Linked DNA regions of Oryzias latipes. The protein of the gene in region 2 binds, or shares a complex with, the protein of the main gene of each other region. Links are inferred from orthologs where the notes say so. Each region holds a gene or a part of one and is shown on either strand. Other genes may lie near its edges. The genes, in order: espn and myo3b.

Evidence for each region.
Region 1: the proteins of myo3b (region 2) and espn are in contact, whole or in part, in a crystal structure (PDB 5ET1), measured with the Mus musculus proteins. The link is inferred for Oryzias latipes from reciprocal best matches to the Homo sapiens genes MYO3B and ESPN. Residues at the interface, in XP_017174528.1 of Mus musculus: Arg1223, Arg1224, Gln1226, Gln1227, Pro1228, Lys1229, Met1230, Leu1231, Ser1232, Ser1233, Asp1236, Thr1237, Met1238, Tyr1239, Tyr1240, Asn1241, Gln1242, Leu1243; in NP_997570.1 of Mus musculus: Leu35, Ala37, His41, Arg45, Ala67, Asn69, Ala71, His75, Asp76, Ala79, Thr80, Asp101, Ser103, Leu110, Arg113, Phe114, Thr135, Thr137, Ala139, His143, Tyr144, Ala147, Thr169, Asn171, Tyr177, Leu178, Gln181, Ala203, Asp205, Met207.

What each region holds. Positions count from the first base shown.
Region 1 is NC_019865.2:7,840,460-7,844,282, reverse strand, and holds part of espn (espin), read left to right. Parts: intron 1-913; coding exon 914-1,096; intron 1,097-1,911; coding exon 1,912-2,043; intron 2,044-3,823. UniProt on the Homo sapiens protein: Multifunctional actin-bundling protein. Plays a major role in regulating the organization, dimension, dynamics and signaling capacities of the actin filament-rich microvilli in the mechanosensory and chemosensory cells.
Region 2 is NC_019879.2:21,807,135-21,810,957, reverse strand, and holds part of myo3b (myosin-IIIb), read right to left. Parts: intron 3,571-3,823; coding exon 3,494-3,570; intron 2,893-3,493; coding exon 2,747-2,892; intron 1-2,746.

The DNA.
Region 1 (3,823 bases), on a different chromosome or scaffold from region 2:
GTGTCACGTAGGTAGCCCGCACAAAATTTTAAGATCGTAGAGTCCTAGACCATTCGGTGAGCAAAAATGCTCCTGCACATTTTTTCTACGGGAATGCTACAGGTTGTAGTGTCCATTTAAAAGCAAGGGTAAGTAAGTAAGTGAAAATGGCGAGACACAGATTGTGTGAATTTTCAACCCCACACAAATCCTCCACCAGCACAAGGGGACATTAGTGCTGATCAAGTGATAATTGTGCGCTCCTAGCACACATCCTGACAGTGTAATTTCCTAAATTCTAAAAATCTGTGTAGTTTGTCTGAGCAAGGGGCTAGTATTCATACTTTACTAACAACTAGTGCAGGGATGGCCAACTCCACACCTCAAGGGTCACATTCCTCCATGTTTTCCAACATACCTTGCTCTGGCATGTTCTAATTGGCTGGACACACCTGAACCAGGTAATCAGTCATGATTAGGGCTTGGATATGTAAAATCATGCAGACACACCAGCCCTCGAGGCCTTGAGTTGCCTGTCCCTGGACTGGGGGACCCTCCACAGGGGTCGTACGGGTCAATGCCCATAAGGGTGCATGTGACTAAGGCCTTACTGTTGGTACAAGCTATAACTTGCTTTCATTGCAAATTTACACATTTGTTGTACATTGGATGACGAAATAATGCAAGTTGTATTCTGATGTCTGTCAACTAGAAATTATAATTTTAATAGTTTGTTTACTTTTTACTGAAACATTAGTCGGAATCTTTAAAGCTTTAGAGTTAACTTTAAAGTTAACTACATATGTTTAAAATTCTTGACTCACTTTGTGCTCCTTTTTCTTTCGTTTGCGCTTTGACAACATTCTGTTTTTACACCAACAACGGAAATCTCTCAGAAGGACAAAAGCTTGGGGTCTGCTGTTTGTGCTTATAGACGAGCTTCACTGAGATCAGCCTGACAGACAAGGACAGCGATGGAGCCACAGCCATGCACTTTGCTGCCAGCCGAGGCCACGCCAAAGTGCTCAGCTGGCTGCTGCTGCATGGAGGGGAGATTGTCATCGACCACTGGGGAGGGACCCCACTTCATGATGCAGCAGAGAATGGTGAACTGGAGGTGGGTGAAGTAATTAATAATAACTAGATATCTTTTTTAGAAAAACAAAAGCTGATAGCACTCACATATTTTTACAGTCCTTTAAAATAAGAGGAAATTTTATACCACATGGAGATTAGAATGATGTAATGGAAGCAGTGTGTAAAGGGTAATGCACTATTTGTGCTTTATTCTTGAGGTTTAGGTTTTACAACCATCTGTTTTAAATACATGACTTCTGGGTTGCTGATTTCACCATTTGACCCAACTGCTTTGACTAACTGTTTGCTGTAACCAGTTCTGGTTGTAATGACCACATGTCTAATGTTTACAAAGCAGAGCACAACGCAAGGAAATAGCATAAATACTTTTAAATGAATTGACAGAAAAAACAAATGTAACACACCAAGCAACACTTATGCTCATCAGTTTGGGATCTCTGGATGTTTTCAAGAAAAAAAATGTTTTTCTTGTCTTCAACTTTCCTAATATTTCTTTAACCCTCAGTTATTGATTCATTCAATAAATGTTACTTTATTAGTGCAATCTTTCTTTATTAGTACATGAGCTATCAGGTTTAATGAATATGCTCTGGAGCCAAATTTGGCCCTTGAGTCTTATTATGTTTCTGCTTGATTTTTATGTTTGACTTAAACAAACTTTGCATAAATACTCCACACTGATGGGGAAGATGCTGCCTTACAAATGAAGAGCAAGAGTTTGATCAAACTTCAAACCTTTTCTGGTGTGATTTGTTATGGCAGCTTAAAAACCCCTAAAGAAAATTCTCATCCTTTTTTACTTCATCTCTGATTCTGTCTTTGTTTTCTCCTCAGTGCTGTCAGATTCTTGTAGTGAATGGAGTGGATCTGGGTATAAGAGATCAGGATGGCTTCACAGCGGCAGACCTGGCAGAATACAATGGCCAATCACAGTGCGCAAAATATCTGCGCACAGTGGAGAACATGGTAAGAGCTCTCATCAAGTCCTCACATTGTCTTGAAACTTGACCTCTGACCTCTGTATGAACAGAACCCAGCTGTGAGGTGATGTCAGACAGCCTTGGATGTCAGTCCAGTGAAACTTCTGCTGTCAAATATAATGTTGACATTTTGTACATTTATGTGTTACTTATGTCACAAACTATGACATGGTAAAATGAACAGCTGGATGATAACATTACCCATTACTTTAGATGCTAGTAACCTTTTTAAAATTTGAAAATAGCATTTAATCTATACAAATGAAAAGGTACAAAAATAGCTGCAGGAAAAAAGAATATTAATCAATCATTGCACCTTAAGGGAGCAGCTGTTGCTTTGGGGGAAACCAGCTGTAGGTGACTGGTTCAATTCCTATCTTTGGGAACTAATGTTTCTTTGACAAAGTCACTGAACTCCGGAGTACTACTGATTAGGGATGTTAAGGATACAGATATTTATTGAAAAATCGATCTAGTTATGAGAGTAAGAGCAGTATTGGCTCAAACCACAGATGTGAACAGGATTATGTTGGTAAAAAGATATAATATTGATTGGAAAGTAAATGATAAGTTTCTAACAAACTTAGTCAGTTTTTCTTCCTGTTGTGGTCACGACTGTCTTTTGTGTACTTGTGATGCAAACAAAAAATGTCCAATTACAAGCTTGCTTCTACCCAGCAGGTTAAATACAATTGGCTGAAGGGGTGTCATTACACTTTTTTTACAGCACTTCAAACAATACCTAAATAAATTATTTTATAGGGCCTATATCATGCTAAATCAACTTTTTGAGATTTTAAGTGTATAAAAATGTTTATACCTGTAGAAAAACACCCCCAAATTGCTCCATTCACACATCTTTGAGTATTCCTCTAAAACCCTGCTCTCAGAAAACGGATGGGTCCTCACTTTGCAACGTAACTAAGTGGGGAACAGACTAAGTGGGGAAGAGTCTGCGCTGCCAGCAACCCCCCCCCCAAGCTAACACAAACAGCCACTTTCTCCGTAAAGGTGATGCCTCAGAGATTGAGTCATCTTACTTCTGGGTAGGAAAATGAACTGCAAAAATAACCCAAATTTCATTTAAAATCGTTCTTTGGTATGTCAAAGGTAATATATTATATATATGGATGTGGTTTACCCTGAAAGGCTTAAAAATACCATGATATAGGCCCATTAAATACAAAGACCAAAACCATCTAAAAGGTCCAAAATGCCAGGTTTTATTGTTAAAAGTTGTTATATGGAAGTTTTTTTCCAGTCATAATTCAAAATAATATGCACTTCTCAATTGGCAATTCAATTTACAATATGTCAGACATTTTTGTTACTTAAAATAAAAAGTGCCTTTAAGAGGAAAAAAAGAGTTTCTCTGTTAAGATCCATTTTTATCTATAGTTTTAAATGCCAAATGCATGATAAATATCTAGATGGGATCTACAGTATTTAGGTAAAAGAATTAGGCTGTATCGTGTCACCACAAGGTTACAAGAGTATGTATCGATTTGCGGACCACGTATCAAGATGTATATTGAATCATGTGATAGGATAAAATGCATACCTCTCCCACTGCTGCATTCCTGAGAGTTTTAAAAATAACATGTCAAACTTCACAATTCATTCAAATTCACACACCATCTTCTGCACAAGGAAAAACATTTTTAAAAACAAAATTATGATACTTTTAGGGTCAAATCATTAAAAGGATCTCCTGCTTGGAACAGCATAATTTTAACTCTGAATCTTGCCAAAGATGTCCCAGTCTA
Region 2 (3,823 bases):
CAGCAGCAGCAGCAGCAGCAGCAGCAGCAGCAGCAGCAGCAGCAGCAGCAGCAGCAGCAGCAGCAGCAGCAGCAGCAGCATGCTACCATCACAGCTTATTTAACATTATGAACTAATATACAACAATAAAACGCAACAAAAACTTTGTGATACAGCAGAGCAGACAGACACACGAATCATAACTAATGTTACAAGTTAAGGCAGAGCAAACATTGAAGAATAAATATCTTAAAAATGACGTTATTTGCAATATTTGGGCCTACTTCAGTTTTGGTCATGATAGACCAAACAAGAGATTTTTCCTCTGCAACGTTGTTGTTGTTGTAGGGCAGGTAGCATTCGAATTTAGAAAACGTGCATCTAGCTATGCGATAATAACCTTTTCTTTGTCTCTTTTCTCCTCTTCTTCTCTTTTCTTTCTAAATTGGGCACCAGCTTTGACCTTTTTTCTCCATATTTCAGATGTTTTTGCATTTAGCATAAATGTCCTGACATAGGTATCAAGTCTGTCGACTAAACCAACTGTCATCTAAGTGAAGAATTTTTTTTTGTTTTCCCATTTTTTATTTGAAATAACCAAAAAAGCATGATTTTTTTATACTTTTTTTATACCCGCAGCCCCCCCCTCCCGTTCGTCAAACATTTCCAGCAGGAGCGCGTGCAGCTGCACCCAGGGGCGCCAATTCGCTACATGGCGGCGCGATTTTTATTTTTATTTTTTCATCCAGCACTGAGCCGCGGCCCGCGACCGTTGCCCCCCTGGAAGAAGATCCAGCCAGGTTTGCGCATGCGTTTTGTGCTCCGTGCTCACCTCAGCCTGCACCCTTCACCCCGCGCCCCCTCCCTTCTCCTTCTTCACCCCGCGCCCCCTCCCTTCTCCTTCTCACACACATTTGCGTCTACTTCTCAAAGACAGCAGGGAGCGCAGCTGCGGGGCGGGGCCGCCGCCAGGTTTCAGGCTGTTACAAACTCTGTGATATAAGTAAACCAATAGTGATGCATAAAGTATTTTACAAGAGCTGAGCCGCTGGCGCCGCCCCTCCGTCATTTTTCCGCCCCGGGCGATCGCCCGTATGGCCCGTGCCTAAAACCGCTACTGGGAGAGAGCATAAACAGAGAGCTATCAGCAATGAGTAGGGAAAGGGGGGCAGGGTTGCTCTGCACCAAAGGTCTCTTCCACAACTCAGAGGTGATTTCTAATGAACTCCTGCTGCTCTGCAGATATTATGTACTAGAAAATGACAGTTTTTTTGGAAACACTTTGAAAACAGATCAAAAGATGATCGGAGTGGGTCTTTAATGCTGAGAGGTCAACCAGGGAGGTGTTGGGTTCCATTTTAAGGGTCTTGCAATGAACTCAAACCAATGATCTCTAGACTGAGGATAAACACTCTACCATCAGGACACAGAACTGGTGAAGTTAAGTTTGCTATTATTAAACATAGAGCTGGTCTGTCTGGTTTTATGGGTCACTGGGGCATTCACACCAAAATATAAGTACGAAGCACAGTCCCTTATTTAAAAACTAATTCATTCAGGAGTCTTGCACTTTGTTCTGACTTTGAAACCAGGGACGTGGAGAAGATATTTAAGATAAGTGACATGTTACCAGAACTGCTTCATGGCTGGGTGGATTCAGTGAAATTTATGACAGAACCACTAAACCTTTAAGGTCCCAATTCATAGCAAAAGGCCAAAACATAAATTTCTCCAGGAGTGTGGAGTCAGGGATGTCAGCTCTAGATATATGTAGCATCATCTGAGGTGAGCTTAAGTAAAAAATAAAAGGTGATTCCTCAGTTGCACGTTAGCACAGCCACCTTGCAGTAAGAAATCTGTGGTTTAAATCCTGGTTAAGTTTGCATTTTTTTCCCATACATGTGTTTACTTTATATGCTTACTCCCTCAGTCCTGAACACATGCTTGCTTGATTGGCGATTTGATCCACAGGATGAGTGACTGTGTGTGGCCCTGCATTAGATTGGTAACCTGTCCCGGGTGTACTCTGACTTAACCCTGAAGAAGCTGGGATTAGCTCCAGTAACCCCCATGACCCTGGACAGGACAAAGAAGATGGATGGATACTTTAAACAATCCTCACCAAAGCAACAAGTCCTCGTTACAAGAACAGTGAAAAAAAGCACTGCCCCGCCCTGCTATCAGACAGCCCTTCTCTTATAATCACTGCTCAGTCTGGACCAAACTTGGTGCTAATGCAAGGCTGCAGCAACTCGCGTAATTCTCCCAACACAAGCCATGCTCTGTCTGGGCAGGGCGGGGGTAATATTGTGATGGGGAGGAGGTGGCAGGCTCATCTCAATGTGAATGAAGCTAATCACCAATGCAAATTGCAATCAGAAAATGTATCTCAGCCCAACTGTGAGATAATTGCAGGATTGTGCCGATAAAGGAAGGTCACTGAAGCCTCACGTGATCATCAGGCACAGAGCAGAAATCAACACTTTTAAGATAAAAGCATGGTTTCTTTTAGTGTTTGCAATGATCAGTAGCTCAGCAGATGCTCTTTATATCAAATATTTAAATGCACTTCTATAATATAAAAAAACAGACAAGTTTGCTTTTATTCTGCATTTCAAAGGAGAAAAAAGTTTAAAAAAATTAAATTAAATTAAAAAAAGCTGCTGTCTCCCATCATTTCTATTGTCATCTACTGTCTTGACTGAATGGTCGCCTTTGTGTGAGGGGCCTCCAGCTGCATGGTCACAGCGCCCTCTGCTGGACTCACCTTGGGATCTTGAAAAGGGCTTTAACTGGATGCATTTCAGCCAGTGGGGGATCTCCATCTGCCAGCTCGATGGCCGTAATGCCGAGAGACCACACATCACAGCGAGCGTCATAGGAGTAGTCATACTGCTGTTCACAGGCTATGACCTGCCAACATGAAACGACAGGGAGGGGGCACCTGAGCAGCTCATTCAGACTGTCACCGACTTACAACAATCCAAAAATAAACCAAATGTCATTCTACTGCTGAAACAAGTCCTGTAAACCACAGGAGTTATTTTTGGAAAAACATCTAAATTTTTCTGTATCCTACTCACTCCTGGTAAAAAAACAAAAAACAAAAAAAAAGGCTTATTCATGGGCCATTTAAGCCGAGTCACTTCAGCAGCTACTCTTCCCTCCAGTCCGTAATTATAACTGACATTACATTTCAAAGCTGAATTTATTCTAATTGTCCCTGAGGTCTCTACTGACCAAGCCAATCACTGCACATCATTTGTACCTAACAGTAAGCCAATGGGGCCTCAGACTCCCAGCTATTAACCTTGAGGCAACCTCAAAAGCTGCACCCGTGGAGGAGAATAGGAGGGGAATACATAATGACACAGAGGAGGGACTGCAATAACTGAGGCGCTCCCTCTTTTCTCTCTTTGTACAACATGAAGACCTTGCTTGCTTAAAGAACGCATTAAAGCGCTGGAACATCCGTTAGTGCTGCACTGGTAGAGATGAACATGCTGACCCTGACCTCTGGAGCCATCCAAAATGGGGTCCCGACAGACGTGTTCCTCCGCAACCGTGCGCTGGTCAGCTGAGCTGAAACCCCTACAAAAGATGAAAAGCAGAGTCTGAAATTCAACGGCGTGCTTCTCAGACTGAATGTCCCAGGAGTATACGTTCAATTTACGTCAGGTGGTAAATGTTTGAGTTTCTGAATAAATCCTGGCGTACAGTTTAGCATGGCATCCTGCCAAGCACTGGTAATAATGGCCAATAATCATTTCAAATTATGTAGGACAGATTTTTATCAGCATGAGTCCTCTTCATCTCTGCGACACAGAGGACATAAACATGCCTG